Drosophila melanogaster: one gene and its partners. The protein of the gene in region 2 purifies or fractionates together with the protein of the main gene of each other region. This does not show direct contact. Each region holds a gene or a part of one and is shown on either strand. Other genes may lie near its edges.

What was found.
Region 1: the proteins of RpL10Ab (region 2) and pcm purify together in Drosophila melanogaster (affinity purification with western blotting, with the first as the bait; one study listed by BioGRID). This does not show direct contact.
Region 3: the proteins of RpL10Ab (region 2) and clu purify together in Drosophila melanogaster (affinity purification with western blotting, with the first as the bait; one study listed by BioGRID). This does not show direct contact.
Region 4: the proteins of RpL10Ab (region 2) and gw purify together in Drosophila melanogaster (affinity purification with western blotting, with the first as the bait; one study listed by BioGRID). This does not show direct contact.

What each region holds. Positions count from the first base shown.
Region 1 is NC_004354.4:19,485,975-19,493,906, forward strand, and holds the start of pcm (pacman), read right to left. Parts: upstream 6,038-7,932; 5' UTR 5,840-6,037; coding exon 5,765-5,839; intron 5,706-5,764; coding exon 4,611-5,705; intron 4,542-4,610; coding exon 4,233-4,541; intron 3,976-4,232; coding exon 3,511-3,975; intron 3,437-3,510; coding exon 3,168-3,436; intron 3,085-3,167; coding exon 2,765-3,084; intron 2,712-2,764; coding exon 1,818-2,711; intron 1,739-1,817; coding exon 1,158-1,738; intron 1,094-1,157; coding exon 431-1,093; intron 368-430; coding exon 287-367; intron 219-286; coding exon 129-218; 3' UTR 1-128. Other genes in the region: ND-18 (NADH dehydrogenase (ubiquinone) 18 kDa subunit), read left to right, coding at 6,563-6,612, 6,703-7,023, 7,083-7,263; CG12204 (uncharacterized protein), read right to left, coding at 7,434-7,932.
Region 2 is NT_037436.4:11,820,982-11,824,714, reverse strand, and holds RpL10Ab (ribosomal protein L10Ab), read right to left. Parts: upstream 1,865-3,733; 5' UTR 1,830-1,864; coding exon 1,825-1,829; intron 1,732-1,824; exon of another isoform or gene 1,591-1,731; intron 1,516-1,590; coding exon 1,360-1,515; coding exon of another isoform or gene 1,347-1,359; exon of another isoform or gene 1,150-1,346; intron 1,058-1,149; coding exon 565-1,057; 3' UTR 504-564; downstream 1-503. Other genes in the region: CG32095 (uncharacterized protein), read left to right, coding at 1-418; CG11597 (uncharacterized protein), read left to right, coding at 3,283-3,733; CG5946 (uncharacterized protein), read left to right, coding at 2,858-2,881.
Region 3 is NT_033778.4:16,184,737-16,189,631, reverse strand, and holds the start of clu (clueless), read right to left. Parts: upstream 3,049-4,895; 5' UTR 2,710-3,048; coding exon 2,496-2,709; intron 1,744-2,495; exon of another isoform or gene 1,478-1,743; intron 1,055-1,477; coding exon 1-1,054. Other genes in the region: CG8441 (uncharacterized protein), read left to right, coding at 3,647-3,820, 3,881-4,468. UniProt on the Drosophila melanogaster protein: mRNA-binding protein involved in proper cytoplasmic distribution of mitochondria.
Region 4 is NC_004353.4:657,605-662,377, forward strand, and holds the start of gw (gawky), read right to left. Parts: upstream 3,005-4,773; 5' UTR 2,825-3,004; intron 2,380-2,824; exon of another isoform or gene 1,956-2,379; intron 905-1,955; 5' UTR 734-904; coding exon 298-733; intron 81-297; coding exon 1-80. Other genes in the region: CG46466 (uncharacterized protein), read right to left, coding at 3,551-4,369. UniProt on the Drosophila melanogaster protein: Required for gene silencing mediated by micro-RNAs (miRNAs). Silences both polyadenylated and deadenylated mRNAs. Required for miRNA-mediated translational repression and mRNA decay. Not required for miRNA target recognition.

The DNA of each region.
Region 1 (7,932 bases), on a different chromosome or scaffold from region 2:
CGTGTGCGGCAATTCTAGTGCCTCGCACAGACTAGGAGAGATAGAAATAAGGTGATATAAGATCCAAATAGCGTTGCATTTCTTCAGCTAGGTGGGATTTGAACCTAAAAATACCCATTTGTTCGCTCTTAAGTTGGATGCGGGGAGTCGGGCAGTATGTATTCCAAGTCGAACTTGGCTCCGATGCGAGGCACTCGATGCTTCCTTCGGTTGACCGCCTGCAACAGAAGCGAGTAAATGGAATGAGTAAATTATGCAGAATAACTATCTCTATCTCCTCCATTACCTGGGATGATGTCGTTGCTGTGGGCGCGTTCGCACTGCCTGTTGAGACCCCATCAGATTCGGACTGCGACGCAGCCGGCTGCTGTCGGCCGAGAGGAAAGCATTAGTTCGGTAATCAAGGCTTTGACTTGTAGCCAATGCTTACCTTAATTTCAAGCGTTTGCATCAGTCCAATCACCTGTTCGCCTGCTGATTGTACCGGAAGACTAGAACTGGCCTTTGTGTCTATAGTCTCGTTCGTCGGTTGCTGCAACACAGGCGAACGACTAGGATTCTTGGTGGCATCGACGTCCTGACGACCGGCTGGTTGGACGCGATTTAATTTCTTGGGACGGTACGCCTGTATGGGCACAAAATCTTGGATCGTTGAGTATCGCGGTGGCGCATTGTTGATCTCCGTCAGCTGGAGTGGCTGCTGCTGCTGCTGCTGCTGCTGCTGATTCGGGTAATATGGTTGCTGGAGGTGCATGTGCACGTTGTTGTTAAAGGTGCTCTGCGCAGCTATATTCTTTTTGGGACGCATCTGATATCCATTGTTGACGCCAGCGTGGAATGCGTTGGCGTGCTGCATGCGCGGGTGCACCCACTCATGCCACTGCCTTTTTGATGGAGCACCCAATGGCGGCTGATTCAACGCCGCTCCTGTCTGGCCGCTTCTGTAGAAATGCTGGCTATTGATACGTTCAGGCTCCATTTGCGCATGCGCCTGCTGCTGCTTCTTCTGCGCCTCCTGCTGCTGCGCCTCCTGCTGCAGCGCCTCCTGCTTCTGCGCCTCTTGCTGCCAGAAGAGCGGTGGCTTGGGTAGATTCTGCAATGAAAAGTAGTTATGTGAACACATGGTTGGGTGGCACATCTGGGCTGAAAGCAGTTACGGGCATTTGTCCGGGAAACGGAGCTCTTTGCTGTTGAAGTAGTGGCGGACGTTGCTGCTGCACCGCCTCCTGGAGTGGCGGCGAGCTCTGGTCCTCACCCACGCCCAAAACCGACATGAGCGCCAAGGTCTGATCCAGAGGAGTCAGCGTTGCGGACGAGGCTGCGGTGAATGCAGTGGAAGCAGTGCTTGCAGCTGCATCAGGAGTTTTTGTGGGCGGAGCAACAAAAATACTACCGCCCTGTTGACGTGATGAAGACCGATTTATGCGCCAATTATTTGGCGCAGGCTGCGGTTTGTTTGTTGGCGTACTGACGCGTTCCCGCCAGTTGGTAATCTGCTCCGGCACCGGCACCGGTTTTGGCTCCGACGATGGCTTGTACGAATCCGTACGGGCTATCGGATCGCTACGCGTCTTGACGAATTCGTCGCTAATTTGGGTCTTCATCGTGATCGGGACCGAGGTGGACCCTGCGGCGGTCACATAGCGACTGCTGGTCGCGCGGACTGGCTCGTCCTGTGCCTGGTTCGGCTGAGGATCCCTCACCGGCAGTTCGCAGTCGTTCTGCTTCTTTCCTTCCTCTGCAAGGAGAGGAAGTGGGAGCATTGCTATGTATGTGCCTCCTCCGATTCTGTAGGCTATGCAGCCAAATCCACTTACCATCCGTCTTGATGATCACCAGGGCAATTTCGGGCACCTTGTAAACTCGGTCTTCGGCGATGCCATGGATGTTGTTGCAGTTCGGAACGGGGCTGTCGAACAGCACCTTGCAGAACGTGTCGACAGCATGGACGCACTCCAGGCGGACCGGGTTGGGGTCCGTAACGGGATGAATGCCAATCACGGTGCCCTTAGTGCCCACGGGCACCATGTAAATGGTGCGTACGATTACGACGCGATCGAAGAGACGCACCGGGCGCTTTGATCGGTAGACATCTGGCAGTGTGACATTGGGCTTGATGAGCAAGTGCGGCTTCACCTGCAGTTTAACGTGCTTGACGGGCAGTGAGCGCAGGTCGTCGACGGCGGCTATCAGCAGTTCGATGGTCTCGCGGCAGACCGTCTTGGAGCCGCAAGAGATGCGCTCCACTTTCATGTGCGGCTGCTGGCGCACCCAGTTGGCCAGTTCCTCGACGCGGCGATGGCCAACCGCATTGGGGAACACGTCCTGTTCGAATACGAACTCGGCGCGATCGTTGGAGTCGCCAAAGAAGTCGATAACGTCTGGGTAACGCTGGCAATAGTTGCGCATCAGATCCACGGCCAGGCTGGAGTAGTACCACTGGTTGTTCGTGCGGAAGCAGTATCCGGCACGCTCCTCGTTCTGCCGCGGATACTTGAGCTGCAGGCCAATGTTGTGCTTGGTCACGTTTTCCATCTTCTGACGCCGCGGACCGAGCACCACCCACACGGTGCCACTTAGGCGTCCCAGGGTGCGGCCACTGATTCGGAGCAAGTTGCAGACCTGGAAGGTGCTCAGATAGTCCCGGTCCCGCTCTTCCTGCAGCTGACGTGCCGCATTTACTTTCGGTTCCGGTCGCACCATGATGCTGACTGCAGAGATGAAATGATGATGGGGTGTCAAGGACATGGCGAGACGAACTTACCTTGAATCCGGCCGTTGGTGTAGGCCAGCCGTGGGTCCTGCACAGTTCCCTCGCTGCCGTAATACGGATCCGTGATCAAGAAGATCGTGCTGCCAACGGGGAAGTAGTGCTCCACGTTGAGGAAATTCTTGCGCATTCTTTCCCACACAGTCAGATCGGCCACCACGCCCTGGGCTGGATAGCCGGTGACGGAGCTGCTCCACGAGTCGCGCACCATCAATGCCCCCTTGTCGCGGAACTCCGTCGAATTGCCGGCAAAGGTGCGCACATAGACGAGCACATCATAGTTGGCAAACTGTATTCCCATACGATTGATAAAGCTGTCGTGGGAGGAGAAGGAGGAAAGGGAAGATGGAGCATTAGCAGTGTGAATGCAGGGCCAGACGGCGGCTTCACACTCAACTGTTCCTGCAGTGCCTTGCATTCCGAGTCGAAACGCCGCGAATCGTTTAGCGTGATTCCCTCGCTGTCGACGCGCTGATCTCGCGTGGCCACGCGCACCACTATCGCCTTGACGAGATGCGGCCAGCCGACGTGGATCACCTTCCCGAGGTACTGGGAGGCCACCGCCGTCAGTGTGTCCTCCAGCTGGCGCTTGCGTGGTTTTAGCACAATGTTCTGGTTGCGACTGACCTGTTCGAACACCTTGACGCGGTCGTTGCGCAGCTCGAACTGGAAAAGAATAGCAAGCATATTAGACATGGCGGACATGGCGAGCGTTATGCATGTGTCCCGGCGTCACTCACATCGAAGGGCAGATGCTGCATGGTGGGAAATCCCGGGAAGAAAACGGTTCTCGCCGCATTTGGTAGCTCGATGCACACGCTGTACGGCAGATTGACTGCGATTTCGTGCGACCACTTGGCCACCTCCGTGCAGTAGAGCACGGGAAGAGCCCTCAGCGGTGGATACGCTGGCATGGGACCCTGCGCCACCGTACTGTATTTGTACACATACATGGGACCGTGTCGGTTGCGTTCGCGCTCCTCCAGCGACAGCTGAGCCTCGCATGGCAGCATAGCGGCCAGCAGCCGACCCTCATCGATGAAGGGTATCAGCACAACCGCCTCCCAATCGTGTTTCTTGCCATTGAGGTCGCTCTCGAACTCCAGTGGATAGAACTCGGCCAGCGGGCTGGTCGGCAGCAGCATGAGGTCGTGGTAGGCGACAGGGAGAAGCTTTGCACTGGCCGCCGGCAGTACCGCCAGAAGCTTTATATGAAAGATTGGACAGATGGCTTAAGTAAATCTAGTATGTGTGCAGATATATGGATACATGGATAATTTGGTTGAGAAGATTGCTTTAACCAAATGATCTAGCACCACCATTGGATTAGAGGGAGATAGATATATGTTAGAAAGGAGATACGCAAATGATAGTCTAAATTGGTGGCTCTGGTTTATGTTTAAGAAATGGTAAGCCTGATGCTAGGAAAGTTATCGGTGCTAACTAAATGTGCTCAGCTCACCTGCTGGAATGGCAGAAAGGGCGTGCCCATGTGGAAGGCGATCTCCACCTGCTCGATGTTCTTGAGGTCGCTGATGAATGGAGTGTAGTGGAAGGGATAGTACCAGTCCCAGGACTGCACGCCACGGTAGTAGTAGTCGAGCACCCACTGCAGCGCATTGACGTAGTGGTGGCACAGTTCCTCGATCAGTTCATCATTCGGATCACGCTTGAACTTGTTGCGGTAGAAGTTTCGCTTGTAGTTCTGGAACTCCTTCAGAAGAACCGCGTTCTCGTCGGAGCAGTCCTCCTCGCTGTCGTCATCGTAGAGCTGTGGATGGGAAGGCGGCATTGAGCGGACGGAAATGACGGGATGGCGGTCAGTGCAGAGAGTTCATACCAGCATGCTCTTGTTGATGAGGGCTCCGAGATCGGAGTCGAGGTTTTGAGACTCGGTGATCTCGCCGACGTCCATGTCGAACGCCTCTGATTTGTTGTTCATGTACTTCAAGTCGTCGGCGTGCTCCTTGAAGTGATCCAGCTCCACCTCGGTGAGGGCCGATATGAAAATCTGCAAGCGGCGCAGGTTGAGCTTGCCGTTCTCGTTGATGTTGCCGCCGAGGGTCGGGTAAATGCCGATGTAGGTGCGGTAGAGCAGCGGCAGTGCATTTGATGAAATGTGCAGGCACGGCAGGTGGGGAATGAAGTCGTTGCCGACCAAAAAGCCCATCAGCACCCAGTCGTCGATAAGCTGCGCAATGTCCAATTTGTGCTCGTCTGTTCTCAGGGCGTCGAACTCCAGCTCGAGGTACTCGCGCAGCAGACCCAGGTGCAGCAGGAAGAAGCGCGTCTCCTCCACCGAGGTGCGCTTGACGTTGCGCCCGAACTTGACCTCCTCGCGCAGCACCACGAAGTGCAGCTCGTGGGTGCAGAGGCCCAGAATGATCAGATCGGCGTCCAGGCCGTAAAGGCAGTGTCGTGTATTGGGATCATAGTCCGGCTGCGTCTTCATGTACCGAATGTAGTCCATGATCTTGTGCTCGCCCTCGCCGGGCGCCTCCTGGCCACTTAGGATTACGGTGCAACGCTGCCACAGCGGATCCGTCGAAATCTTCGTTTTGAGAAAGGCGCGCAGTCCCTCCTGCAGACGCACCATGAATTCGGTGCCCGGCGTAATGCAGTTGCTGTCGAAGCGCTCGTGCTCTCGCAACTCGCCTCGCTGGGCCGCCTTGGCCTCCTGCTGCTCCGCCTCGCGCGCCGTCCGGAATCGCCGGCTGCGCTGCTGGTTCATCTTGGCCCGTGGAGCCACCCCGTCAACTGAAAGGAAGAAGAGGCGCTGCGGCTTGATCAGGTAGAACAGCTTGTCTACGTAGTTGAAGATTTCCTGGAATATCTGCTCCTCCTCCAGGTGAAAGTGTATGTTGTTGTCGTCCGGATGCGAGCAGTTGTGGACAATGCCGTTCATGTCCAAGTACAGATTGTCGAACTCGGGTATCTGCAAAGGAACCGTACGGTGCATGGCAACATATAACGTGACCTAGCAGCTTTACTTACGCAGTGCTCCCGCGCCAATTCGCTGAGGCACGGATATCGCTCGCTGATGTAGCGAAAGAACTTGGGAACGCCCATGTCGCTGTTCTGGATGGGACTGTTCTGCCGCCGTGCTGTTCTGCCTGGATCAGTGGCAATTTAGATGAACTGAAAAATTTGTGTCTTTATCTGTTTTCAACATGTATTGATTGACACAAAAGTTGCAAGTAGGCGAGGCGTTGCCACAACGTTTCGCTATTGCCATGTGGTAGGGCCGGCGGCATTCCGCAGTTCGATGAATAACTGAAAGAATAAGGACCCTGACCGATTCAAATCGATATTAGAATCGATAAGCGAAACGGGCTCCTTTGCCAATAATCAGCTAATGGTGAAATTAAGCTAAAAGGAGCTAAGAACACCTACATATCTGGCAGCACTGGGCAAATGCAATGCTCATCATTTAAACAGTTGGCTTACAAATAGCATAGTTTTAGTTCTAGTTACTTCTCTAGTTCATCATCAGTGTATTTCATTTCATTCATTTTCATTTTAAAGTTCATTTTACCACTTGAACAGCATTTCATAGTTTTTGCGAAGTTCGAAGTGAAAAAGAAGAAAACTGTTTTTGAACTATTGTGGCATCGCATCCAAGGCGAGGGGCCACACTGTTTCCAATTAGAATAAAAACACTCACCGCTCGCCTGGTCACACTGGCACTGGCGAACAGCTGTTTTCCCAATCGAAAAGCGCTTGTGTTCCAAATTTTACGTAATTCGTATTTTGAAGCCGATTTCTGCCGTGTAGCCCCAAACGCCTAGCGAAATGTCGGCCCTCCGCCAAGTGATGTGCAGAAGCACCGCCTCCCTGCAGCTGTAGGTACCCCCGCCTGGCCGGAGCAAGTGCATCCGACCTGGCAAATCTGCAGCCCTCTAATTATCCACTTTCGCATCTTGACACCGCAGGTACCAGGCCAACAGGGCAGCCGCTGCCCGCTGGGCATCCACCGCCACGGACGGCGGTCCGCTGGACCCCAAGACGGCCCTGGCCCGCCCCGAAGAGCTGGAGCAGCGCAACAAGCTGAGTGGCAAGATCACCGTGCCGACTGCCGTCAATCTCAGCCCGATCAGCGGCGTTCCGGAGGAGCACATTCGGGAGCGCCGTGTGCGCATCCATATTCCGCCCAAGAACGCAATGCAGAGCGGCACCGATAACGTGAACACCTGGCAAATCGAGTTCGACAACCGCGAGCGCTGGGAGAATCCGCTCATGGGCTGGGCCTCCAGGTGAGTAGCTGGCACGTCCACCATGCCATGGCAACCTTGGTCAACGTCTCGTGTTCCAGCGGCGACCCATTGTCCAACATGAACGTGCAGTTCGGATCCCCAGAGGAGGCCATCACGTTCTGCGAACGGAACGGATGGCGCTGGTACGTCGACGGCGCCGCGAAGCCCAAGAAGGAGCGCGTCAAGAACTACGGCATCAACTTTGCCTGGAACAAGCGCACGCGCGTCTCCACCAAGTAGACGCTCCCCGCAGCTAGCCAGGATTATAGACCACAATTATCTGATTTTTTTTTTGCTTTGTTCATTATCTGAGTACCCAAATAAACAGTCGGCTGGACTCAAATGACCACAGCACCATGTAATGGCCACCAGTTTCGCTGCCAATGGAAGCGGCACCATCACATGCCGCTCTAATGACGAGCGGTTTGGGAGCGATGCCTATTGTGCTGCTTCTCGCGTGGCTCTCGCTCCTCCCGACGCCTATCGCCATGTCGATGCCTGCTCGGACTGCGGCTTCTCTTCCGGCTGTCATCATGATGCTGGTACCAATCTCTGCGCTCGTTGCGCCAGTCCCGATGCTCTTGTCGCTGTCCTCGGTCCTTGTGCTCCTTAAAACGATCCATTTGGTCGTTATGCCGCCCTCTGTCCTCCTGGTACCGCTGCCTGTGCTGCGTTTGCTCGTTGTGCCGCCATTGGTGCTCCTGAAACCGCTCCGCTGGCTTATCGCGTCGTCCCTTGTGATCCTGTTGCCGCTCCGTTTGCGTCCTTTGCTGGGATTGCTCAACATACCGTCCGCGGTGCTCCTGTCGGTCGACTTGCTTATGATGCCGCCCGCCGTGCTCCTGTTCCCACTGCTTCTCCAGCGCCTGCATCTGCAGGCTGACTAGCTGGTGCAGCTCCTCGTTGAGC
Region 2 (3,733 bases):
AGTTCCGGCCTTTGTCTTGGCCCCGGTGTACCAGAATTATCCACTGCGTCCCTGGCTTTTGCAGCGCTATACTGATCCGACAGCTCCGCACGAGCACGACTTCAACGAGGTTGCCGAGCACCTGCAGGAATTGAGTGACTGCGCACTGCATCGCCTCATGTCCCGCTGGAGCTTCCTTAGCCAACCCCTGGACATTAGCTTCCATACGGCCTCGTGCATCATCACAGCAGCCGCAGTATTGCACAATCTACTGGAAGAACTGAGCGAACCACACATGCTTGAGTGGGGCAACTCGGTGGACGTGTCCAAATTCCGGGCAGAGCCGCTGTCAGATTCAGTCAGCGAGGACGCCGAGTCTCATGCGGCGCTAGAAGTGAGAGATTTCCTAGCCAGAACTATAAGCTCCACTGAAATATAAGGCATAGAAATCGATGTGCAACCACCGACTTCTCATATACATAAATACTGTAGAGATAAGGACTAAAATAAAACCAAATTAAGTTACATTACAAAAATGTAGGATCTTATTTATTTCAAGATGTAAGAAAAATGAAGTATGCGCATCTAGTAAAGACGCTGGGGCGGTCCCATGGAGGACTTGACGTGCAGGGAGCGCACATTCTGCCAGTTCTTCTTCAACAGCGACACCAAGAAGTTGATCGACAAGTTGACGTTTTGGGCCAGCTCGTCGGACTTCATGCCAACGTGGCCGACGGCGACGGACAGGCAGAGCACCTTCTTCATCTGGAACTTGATGGTCGACTTAACCTCCTCGATCTTGCCAATCATAGACTCCTGATGCGACAGCAGGGCAGGGAACTTGCCGGCCTTGTTCAAGCCAGGGCCAAGCAAACGAGGAATCTGCTTGATCAGCGACTCAGAGGCCAGGAAGGCATCATAGGACTTGGCCAGCTTCTTCACCAGCTTCTTGTTCTTGTTCAGCTTCTTCAGAGCCTCGGCATCCATGAAGTCGACGTTGTTGGCCTTGGCTTCGTCGCAATGCTGCTGATCGCCAAGGATGCACACCTTCATCTTGGGACGAGGAATGTGCTTCAACCTGTGGGATGACAAGAAAGTAACCATAAATTAGCCAGTGCTTTGTGGATTCAAATAGATGTAGATATAAGTGGGGCCTCATGGAAAACTTACAAGGCTCTCAGAGGAGCACGTTTTCATAGTTATTAAGAAAATGGGGGTTCGGTGTCCATTGCTGGAGACCTACTCAAATTTTAAAGACCCTGAGTGCAGGTCCGTCGAGATGTGACAGCCACATGTCCTCGACTACCTGATGACGTGATGAACTCAACTCCCATGGGAGCTTCTATCCAAGCACGTGCGCAGGTGACTTAGCCAACGTACTTGACGGTGCCGGAGAAACGCTTGTCCTTCTGGGGATCGTAGTTCTTCAGGCCGATCTGCAGTTCCACCGTCTCGAGGAAGCCGCGCTTCTTCTTCGCCGAAGCCTCCAGGAGTCCATTGACGCCCTCATACAGCGTATCACGCGAAACCTTCGACCTGCAAGATTGAACCAATTATCAAACAAATGGAAGGCAAATGAACACTGCAAGCATTGGCTGTTTATCTTTTTTTGACTGTCGGACTAATGCGCAAATGAAGGCAGCCCACATATTAGTTGCTTATTTGGCACATAAAACCACGTTTTTCTTTTGCAATCATTTCCAAACTGATATGGACATGGAAAAGGTCTAAAAAGCTGGTTTCTGATTGCCACTGATCACAGGATCGCTTAGAATTCAAATTTCATTAATGTACCCAATGTTTAGTTGCTTTCTTTTACATATTAAAATCTGGATTTACACTTACGCCATCTTTTCTGTTCAACGTGCGATTTAGAAAGGAAGTGAAAATCGGTTTTTAGAGGTGAGAAACCTCTGGCGATAGTTTCGTGGGCGCGTGTGCTTGTGCGAATATATATCGATATTCATTAATAGGGCTATTCACGAGAAATGCTGGTTAATAAAGAATTATAAATTCTTCAATTGTTTATAAAAATATTAAATCTAATACCCCCTTTTTTATAAGTTAACGGAGTACACATACACAGTGGCATATTTTTAGAATTTCATATAATATGTTACGCAAAAATCAAAGGAACGAACAGAAATAATGGAAAATAATAAAGGGATGTCGGCAGACAATGACGTTTCAATACACTTATTTTTTACTTTTTATGTGTCACAGCTTATTTTTTTTTTGTTATTTTTGTTACAAATTAATGTATAACTGACAGTAGTTAGTGGGAGCTCCTAAATTAATAGCTGCCAATGTCACAAATCATAATAATACAAATTGCTAATTAAGAATATTAAGAATATATATATATATTATTTGAAGGCGTTTGAATAGCAGGAATCACCCTAATAACAAAATCCATTTATTTGGCGATGCTTTGTGGGCTGCCAACTGGTTTTTATCACTATTAGTTTACCAGCCCTGGAACTGCGGCTTTGTTTGTAGCCGAGAATATTGGTATTAAAATTTGCACTTGATTAAAATTTGCACTTGATCTCTATAAAATCTATATATGCAACTAGTTAGTTACTGTGTGTCTGAAGATTCTGTTGATTATAGGCTTTCTTCTCTTTCTTCTTTTCTTTCTAGGTGATATCATAGTGTGTTCAAGAGAGGCAAAGAGAAACTCTCTTGCGCTCTCTCCTTAAAACGGAGAGTGCGTGGAAATGAAAACATTGCTTTCACCATCTCGCCGATTAGTCTGCATATCAGTGTTTAGTCGGCTTTTCGCTTTCGTTAGATAAAAATTAAGTGCGTGGTGTCGTTGCAATTCGCGGATTATATAAGGGATTTGAGCCGCGACTGCATTGATTTTCCATTGGCCATGGCCCGCATCGTTGAAAGCAATGTAAGTTAAATGCAACTAATTCCGTTCGCTGGTATGTTTATATAACTCCTCGATTCGCATCACCACCTGCCCCGCCCACATCCATCTTGTTCTATTCCCCCTCACATTTCATAGTTGTCAGTGATGATCATTTTTCTCTTGGCCAAATGCCTAATGCCTCGGTGGTTTTGCATTCTCCCAAATTTGTTGGTCAACAGTGATGGGAACTGTTTGTATTAGTTATTTGTTATTATTTTAAATTATGAATAATTGAGAGAACTAAATGCTTGCACTGTAGAAATAGTTTGTAACCTAGCCACCTGATCATTTAACTCATCTATTGGCTCATAAACTAACACAATATGTAAATAGTTTCCTTCCCATCACTGTTGCCCAGTGACGTCGCCGACTTAAGAATAGAGATGATGTCTGCCTTGTGCCCCGAGGCAATGAATGATGCGGATCGTCTGGTGGAAAATCTGCGCCATGTGCCGGTCCGCCTGCCCAGGGAGTTGGAGGTTCGCCAGCTGTGCCGCTCGTTGAGTGACTTGCTCGTCGGCGAGTCGAATCTACTGAGCCTGCAGAGTCCGCAGATCGTATGCGGTGACATTCACGGTCAGTTCGAGGATCTGCTCCACCTGCTGGAATTGGGCGGTTCGGTGCAGGAGCATCGCTACTTGTTCCTGGGTGACCTGGTGGATCGGGGCAAGAACAGCGTGGAGACCTTTCTTCTGCTAGCTGCTCTCAAGGTGCGACATCCGGCACAAGTTAGCCTGCTACGGGGCAATCATGAGTGCCGCAGTGCCACTCGATCCTATGGATTCTACGAGGAGTGCCTTTCGCGGTACGGCTCTGCGAATGTCTGGAGGATGT
Region 3 (4,895 bases), on a different chromosome or scaffold from region 2:
ATAGCGTCCACTGTGTGCTCCAGGATGGGAGCTGCCCACTGGTACACCTGATAGGGCGTGGCTACACGCTCGAAGGCATGACGCATGGTGCGTCGCTTCTGGATGGTCTGGAAGGCACGTCGGAACGATGGTGATATGTGGGAAAGCAGATCGATCAGCGAGTGGCTGAGGTGGCTTGGATTGTCGGGCTTGGGATTAAAGGTGTCGTCTGTCGACTGGTTGATGAAGAAGCCCTTGGAACAGGCTGAGATGTGGAATCGTTTATCCTCCATGGTGACAACGTACAGATACATGAGGTCACCATGCAGCTTGCGAGGACCGGGTGGCGGGTTCCAGGCGGATGTAGTCAGTACCTTGAGAGCCTGCGGTCCCTTGGCGTTCTTCACATTTGGATGCAATGGCAGAATTGGCGGATCACTTACACCCGGAGTCACATACTCCGGCGGAGTGCAATCCACGGAGTCCGGTCGCGTCCTCTTCTTGTCCAGCAAATCACCCTGAGTGATCGTGTTTAAGTAGGTCAGCGAAGTACAGTCAATGCCATTGTACGCGTCGGCCGGGTCAAGGTTTTTGAGAAGATCACGGACATGGCGCACATGAATACGGGCCTCCCGCATGGTGTACGGCTCCTCTACCACTTTGATCGTCGAGCCCTGCTCAAGGTTATTGATTGACTTGAGTTCGGCGAAATTGTCGAGCGTCACGTTGTCCAGCTGCAGCGAGAAGCATGTACGATGGCACGTCTCTTCGCGGTCCATCAGCAGCTGGTGGATTTCCTGCACCAGCTCCATGCTGGACAGCTGCACGCAGAGCAGATCGGCGCCGGGACTGCTGATGTTCACCGTGATGCCAATGTCCTGCAGAGCGTCCAGATCAATGTCATCACCATCAGCCTCAGCATCCGGTGCTCCTCCTTCCTGCGGTTTCTCCACATTGGCATTGGTATCGGCATTGTCCTCAACTGCATCCACCACTGTGGGCTTCTCGGCGTGTCCGTTGCTCAGAACGGCTTCGGTTGTGGGTTCAGTTGGGCTTTTGTTGCGGTTCTTCTTGCCTACATGGGGCGATGAAGAAGTAATTTGTTGTTAGTCAATATTGGGAAAGGCATATGGAGCATTGTGTAACCTATTCGATGTATAGGGAGAAACGTGAACTTTGGACCGACTTTTGTTTCCATGTCTCTCAGAAGAATCTTGTATAAATCCGTTATTTATTTATTATGGTTCATTAGTATGTTTTTAAAAACAAAAGATTATTCTTAGGAATTTAAATTTCCAAGCAATGCTGCCAAGTTTATGTTAGAATTTAATGTTTACCATTCTTAATTTATAAATAGTGGTTTATATCTAGTTTAATAATTAAACCTTGATATTATTTGAAAAATGGTGACAGAATTAAAGGTAATGCAAATACGTTACACGTTTCTTTTCTAAAATTGTCTGGCAATATATAATAATTTAAAAAGAGGTGTCTCTACCTCCAGGCTCCGATTTTTACATAACAATACTGTCCGCACACTTTTGTCGCTCAGTTTGTCTGTGTTCGCCGGCAAGCTGTGTGCTTGCATATACATATAAAGGCATATGTACATACATTTACAACAAAACAGTAGAAAAACAAACAGAAAGAGAAAAGCGAGCTGATAAGGCCAAAGGGGCCGGGTTCGTTCGGAGTCCGTACGAACGAACAGTCCACCGAATAATCCAATCTCCTTTCGATCTCTCAGGAAAACGGAATGGGTTTAACACGACCATGCTAATTTCAACAGCCGTATACTAAATTACAGCACTGTGAGATACATAGAGATAGAGCTAGGGAGAGAGAATGAGAGAGGCAAAGAGAGTGGGGAGAGGAGAAAGCAAAAGTGATAAGTACAATGTTCATTAACCGCAAGGAATTCGGAGAGAAGGAGACAAAGTGTAGAGCGATGCGTCTACGGATAGAAAACATGATTTACATAATTGTCGAACAATTTGCGTGTGTTAAGTGCATGCATTTCGGGCCGCGCACGTGTTAATTGTAGGTTAAACGCAACAAGAAATCCGCCCGGGGGGTTAATGAACATTTCGTCGCCGTTGCCGGGTTAATAACATGTGCGTTGCCATGCCAAGAGGAAGAGAAAGAGCGAGAGAGATAGGGAGCCTCACACTTGCAGTTCTCACACACGCACTTAACTCCAATAATACACACACACACATTTACGATTGCAATTGTAACCCACGCGGTTTATGGAGAGAGGGGGAGAGGGAAGGCTCGTAAAAGGGGGTGGAGGGGCAGCCATAGACAACGGGCGCCGCTTTTAAGGCATTATAGGGAAGAAAAAGCCCATTACGTAATGTTAAAAATGTTATGTGATTGGCTTTTGTGGCAAATAATATATTGAGGCAGTTTCCAAGGCAGCAAAGCTAAGAGGAGGTGGTGATGGGTTGGTGTGTGGGTGGGTGGGTGGTTGATTGGTTGGTTGAACATGGGCGTAGGCGGAAAGTTAAACGCACCTTTCTTCTTCGCAGCCGGCCCGTCGGCAGCCGTGCCATTGCCATTGACCAAGTTCTGATTCGAATTCTGCTGATTCGAATTCGGATTCAGGTTCTTTTTGCCGCCGGCCGTGTTGTTGTTCTCCTTGGCCTTGCCGCTGGCCTTTGTTGCTGTTGCTGTTGCATCGCCCGTGGCCGTTGCATTTGAATTCTTCGCCTCCGTTTCAAGCGCCATGCTTTTGTTTCACCTGCTCGCCAAAAACTCAACAAAACCAGCGGAGGAGACACAGAGTTCTAGTTCACGTTTCTTTTTTTTTTGGGCCCGTCCGTCCGTGTTACACAACTCTAACCGCTCGCCGAGCTCGGGGTGATTTCGGTTCGATTTTCAGTGTCTTTCTGGTCGATTGCGAACGTGATTGTTGTTTGGTTAACGATCTCGTACGCATCTATGACAAGTGGGTCTTTGCTAGTTCTGTTCTTTTCAGCACATTACTTATCGAGGATATAAATCGGCCGATTCGCTAGAAAATAACGCGTTATGTTGTTAACGGCTGAGAGTGTGACCACCGGGTGAACATTTAAATATACCGCTGGCATTGGCTTGGTTGCAGTATTTTAATTAGTATTTAGTTATTTGCTGTGTATAATTGCAGATGGACAACAACTAGTGATAGGGATGCACACGCAAAAACGATACCAATATATATGATTGCATTTATTTTAACAACAATTGTGTTCTGTTTAATAAAAGGTAATTTATGCACAATACAAACTTATTTTTATTTAAAACAAATTTTTAAGCCTTTTTATAAAGTGCGTCATATTAGCGTCGTTGAGGAACAGTGAAATTTGTAACATGGGTAGGTTTTTTTTATTTTATTTGAAGGTGAATTTCTATTCAACAATTTTTAAAAATTAATTAATGTAAAGGGCCTGTTTTAAGGATGGGTTGGTTCATAGCTGGACCTACTGTTATGAAATTATCTCAAAAATTGAAATTTTCCTGAAATTCCACCGTTCCGCCATCGCCGCTAACTTATCGACTCTAATTTGACGCATACAATTTTACAGATCAAGCATAGTCCCCGTTAAGTTTTTTTTTTAATTCGGTGTGTATTTTTTACGACTTGTAATACAGCCACACATAAAATACTGTTTTTAACCAAACAAACATGTCGCTTATAAAGAATTTGGTAAAAGAGCCCGAACAGAAGGCAAAGAAAAAGAAAAAGAATGCGGGATCTGGAGAAAGCGATTCCGATGAGAAGGACAAGCCTCTGCGGCCGTTCATCAAAACCGCGACAGATCTACAGAGGCTGAAGCTGGAGAAGCTCATGAAGAATCCGGTATGTGTTTGCATTGGAAAGCTGGGTGGACATTCATATTAATAAACCTTTTATTGCCAGGATAAGCCCGTGGTCATACCGGAGCAGCGTCGCGAACGGGACTTCATGTCCTCGGTGCCCACGTTCGTGCGGAATGTGATGGGAAGCAGTGCTGGAGCGGGTTCCGGCGAGTTCCATGTGTACCGCCACTTGCGACGCAAGGAGTACGCCCGCCAGAAGAACATCCAGAACCAGAGTGCCCGCGAAGCAGCAGATGAAGCTTACCAGCAGAAGTTGGACGACAACAGACGCGCGGCCGAAGAAAAGACTGCTAAGAAACGAGCCAAACGGTTGAAGAGAAAACAGAGGGCGAAAAAGCCGAGAGAGGACAAGAAGCCACTGGCTAAGGAAGCCTCAGAGGATAGTAACACAGATTCCGAGGAAGAGCCCACAGAAGAAAAGGCAGAAAGTAGCCCTGAGGAAGGACAACAGGTGGCATCCAAGGAATCCGACGACAATAACACCCAAGAAACTTCGAATGAAGAGGCAGTGAATTCAAATACAGAAGCGAAAAGCGCAGAGGACACAAATGCAGTGGAATTAGATAGCACCGAAGCTACAAAGGAATCCCAAAATGTGGATCAAGAACAAGACAAGCCTGTGCCTTAGTACCTCCTGTTCTATTCCTATCAATAAACCGTTTAGAGTAATAAAACACAGTGCGGTTTTATTTATAGTACTTTTGTAATATATATATATTAAGCGATTTCTATACATCGCCAGTATCTAGGGGTTTTCATCTGAGGCCATCTTTCTAAAGCAGCTTGGTTGAGAAGAAAGCGTTTTGCGAATTATGCATTGAGTTGTCGTGGCTTTAGTGCGCATTTTGTTTTTTGTTGTCTTACATTTATAAGGTGCATCAAATGTTGCATTTTTGAGTATAATAAATGCTTTCAAAATTTGACATCGCAGGCAATACATTAATTATACCCTTGACAGAAATCCACCATTTTTAGTTCTGGGTATAAACATATTTTTTTCTGGTTTCTTGAAGAAGCAAGTTTTTATTGTTTTCAATAATTAGATTTCTTTGAAT
Region 4 (4,773 bases), on a different chromosome or scaffold from region 2:
GTTACCAGCGTTGCTGGAGTTTCCGCTACTACCTGTTGCGACTCCAGACGATCCAGTTATATTGCTTGACCCGTTACCTCCTTAAATAACAGCAGAAATATAAAAGTATTTCGGGTTAATGAAATAAAAGTTTCTGTAGAACTTAGAATAGGTAATTCCCCAGATAAGGCTCCAACTTCAATTACTACACTTTATGTTTTTATCATGTATTGTTAGTCACATTTTGAGGGAAAAGCTAGAGCCTTTATCTGATCGTTTGCGCTTAACTTCATTAATTCTAATAGATATTAGGCCTACCAGTTGATCCAAGTCCGACGCCAACGACACCTTGTCCCCACTGAGGTCCGCCAGACGAAACAACACCGCCTGGACCGACATTAACTCCGGCTTGGTTTACTCCCACTGCAGCTCCGGATCCCGCGTTGCTAACAGCTCCTCCAGTCCACACACTACTACTATCGGCGCCATCGTCGTCCTCACCCCATGTTCCACCTAAGTTAGAGGATGGTGTATGACCCCACGACGGCTTTGGAACTTGCTGTGCGGCCGGCTGACCTCCGTTTCTCAAATTGGACTCCCAAAGATCAGTACCATTGTTAATGCTTGGCTTCCACATTGGTGGACCGGGTGCATCCTTATTGGCTGGTTCTGGCGAACTGGGAACTTCCCAATTAGTATCCTGGTTAACATGCTGACAGCCCCAGCCATCTTGGGAAAAAAGGGCTTCACGCATAGTGCTCAAGTGTTCTAACTGATTGTCAGCTTCAAAAGTAGCATTCCTTACTATTCCAACATCCACTTGATCTTTAACTTCATTATCATAAGCATTTATGGCAATTTTTAAAAGTTATTTAATTTAATCGAAAAGGAATGACTTAATCTGAATCCTTGTTCTTTCCGTGTTCTGTAGAAATATAGAAAACATTTATTATTTTTATTACAAAATATTCATTCTAAATCAAATTGCTAAGTTCTTTTTTTATTTTCTTGTATATACACAGGATAAATAAACTTAATCACCGTGATACGTTTATGCTTTATACACATTATTAATAGAGTAAAATGGTATATGGTATACCAGATTTGTTCTAAAGTATGTTACATAGCGGAAGCGTTTTCGACATAAAAGCTAGACAGTTGAGAATAAGCATGCAGATTCTAGTGACCCCTACGTTGTGCACGTTTGTTTTTAGTTTTTCTATTGTTCGTTGTTCTTAAAAAATTTTTTAATTCTGATCAGCTTTTCGTAGGCTTAATCAATATCTTCTTTACAGATTTTTAACTGCATAACATCAGTTAAAATTCTGAAGGAGAAATCATAAAAATTTAAGCTTTATAATCGATTCAAAAAGTCTGAGGACATACATATGGGTATATAAGAGTGGGAGTCATTTGACAGGAGTTAAACATGTATACTTAGTATGTACATAAAGAATTTTAAAAATGAAATATGCATCGCGATCGCTGACCTACCAGGTCTGCTGCCCAACCGGCAGAATCCCCACCCACATTAACGACAAATTCCTGTGTGAAAAACGAATGCATGTCAAAAAATAAAACAATTAAATTCACAACTCTGTAATGGTATATAAATATACATATGCATATGTACACAAGTAAAATGAATTTGTCAACTCTGGGCAGGCAGACATTGACGGAAGCACCCTATTTTATGTCTCCCTTTCCTAATTTCGCACTTGCAATTATGCTCAAATAAACTTAGAATTTAAAATGTATTTACACAACCTGTATATATGCAAGTATTGGCAAAAAGACTAATGCGATAGATATATACATGTATATACATTTGTATGAATACATTTTCAGTACTCTAGTGCATATGTAGAGAAGTCATTGTACAATACTTAGTATATTCGCGTGTCTTGTACCCTATGTGTAGAAATACAAGCGAAAAGCTGAGAACGTCACAAAATGGAGATCTAACTAAAACCTACCAAACAGAAATTAGAAATTAATATCTATTGCCAGAATATGCGTTTATAGTAAAATTGAACACTTGTGTATACGCTAATAGTTCACCGAATATTTGCAACAATTTTTGCCTTTACTGAACGAGAAGTTGATTTTCTCTATATATGTAAATATATGTGCATTTTTGTGTGTATGCATGTCAAGCCACTTTGACGAGTTCACAAAGTGTGTATGTGTTGTAAAACATACACACATTCGACAATCAATTATAGTTTTTCATATTTCACAAAATAAACTGGGATTAATAACAATCTTGAATGCGAAAACTGATTAGACTCAACAATAATTATAATTCGATGTAATTGAATATAAATTTCTGCGCACGTTCGACGATGGGGACGGCAGTTACTAGTGTATTAAATAAACCCATACAGATATTCCTGCTTGCAATATTGCCACCTAGTCAAAATTTAAAGACGGAATGGAAAGGTATGTGGAGTATAGACTAATGCAAATATGCAAAATGCTTACTTTATTTTTAATTACACTATTACTAAATTTTAACTGTTGGTGTGGAAAACCTCAAAGCAAATGCGACACATTTAAATTCCCTATTGCTTTGTCATTATGTAAAAGATTTAAAGCGTGGCAACTCTTGACTGGAACATATGTACATATAGACTTTTCCAATGCACGATACACAAGCGAACAGAATTTATTCTGCACTGATACACACATGCGTATGTCCGAAACTAAACGCTTGGGTTTTTGCGACCATTTAGGTTATGCACACTTAGGTTATGTCAGAAAGTTTCGCTTTTAATCGTACTGAGTACGTCTTCAACCATACATTAAAATTATTCTACTTCAATTTAGCTGCATTACTCCGTACATTCTATCCGTGGTGGGCTGTTGGCAATCTTTTCGTTTTAATGACAAAGCGCTTGTTTTCGAAAGATTACGCACACAAAAACATTCACTACTCGTGCTAATTCATTTTAACACACGCAATTTAAATAAAAAGTAACTATACGATGCTCTCACTCGCACTTCGCCTGGATCACGACAGACTCTTCTAGGTAGATGTCCGATATTTTCTTAAACTAATCGATATTAATCAATCTTAGGTAATACCCAGTTTACACAACTGCCTAAAATAAGTGCTGTGACCCGTTCACATCGAAGAGGTCAGATAGAGGGTACACAACAGAAGGATTAATTGATTAAAATAAATTAGCTGATATAATTTAAATTAATTCAAAACAGAGCTGTTTCAAACAAGTTCCAACTCATATAACTCTCGACCATTTCTAACAATTCAAATGAAATTTAAGGGATTAAAACAATACAGTGAGATAACATATGCATTAATAAATTTTAAAGCTTGAATGCCTTATTGAAGTGAGAATTGAAACAGGTTTGGGCAATCCATTAAATTCATAACTTATTTTATTAAGTCTATGTTAAAAAAGAATCCTTAATAATGTAATGTATAAAGTTTGGACTTACGACCGATTAATATTAATGTGTATGTTTTGGTGTTTTGCCTTGAAATCAAATGAAATTATGTTCTAAAATATCGGCTCTCCTTCGACTATCTATGAGATTTAAATAGGTTTTACCAATTGCTAAGAAAATCGAAACCCTTAGGCATTTTTAGTTCAGGGGATAACAGTTTTGTATTTTCGTCTTGACGTGCATCTTTAAATTCGTTTTCATAATCAGACAAGTCGTTTAACACACTGTTTTTCGATCCACATTTAACGAGCAGTTGCATTTTCTCATTAGATTCAATACATTCATCAATATAAACAGTTTGGGTTTTTGAGAAGTTTTCATGAATGGAAATCTTTCTTTCCGTTGTGTTAACGCCGGTTTTATCATTAGAATTAAGGTGGAGAATTGGTATTTTTTTATTGGTTGAATCTTTTGTCTTCAATTTTAAATGAATGGCCTTTTTTACGCCTAATGGAGTTTCAACAAGACAGATATCATCAAATTCTTTTAATACTATGTTAATTTGTGATTTGGTTCGATAAGAAAATGGAAACGAATGTTCATCTTGAAAATCTCCGGTGTTTTCATCGCGTAATATTTTTAAACCAACGTTTTGATAATTATATGTGTGTAAATCTTGGCCGTTATATAAATATACAATGTCTCTGAAACAAAATTTACGGTAATCATTTTTACTAACTTCAGTATTTTCGTACGGATCCTGTGCCGCATAGTTTTCTTTAGTCTTATGACAGTACTTAGAAAATATAACAGGATCTATTAATTGGTTATTCAATATTTTTTCCTGTTCGTTTAAAGTCAATTTAAGCCAAGCGTCTTGGTTGTATGTAGATTTAACTTTATTGAGATCGCAGGTAATTTTTTCGGAAATTGAATTAAGACGTGAGAAGTATGACTGAGCCTCATCGTGTGTTGTCATTTTTGATCTGAAAATAAATATGGTTTGCTGTATTAAATGGTTAGCGGAACGTTAGATTCTATCATAAAATCGAATAATTATATTAACCTGAATTCTTGAAAAAGTATTTATAATTCTTTTATACTCTTCACTCGTAAAGTAAGGGGGTTATTAAAAATTAAAAAAGAACATAACAGGTGAACAAAAAGGTTTCCGAGACTAGTTAATGAACTTCGGGATTTGGACACTATATGATGTCCAAACCGAAAACAAATGCAATAAAAAAGAAATATATAACCTTAGAATCAAATTAGCCCACCTCTCCTTTATTTACATTACTAATTTTTGGTAGCCAGAGGAGTGCTTCCCGACATTACAACATTCATAGGGGCAGACGGAAGTATCAACTCGGATGGGTGTTTCTT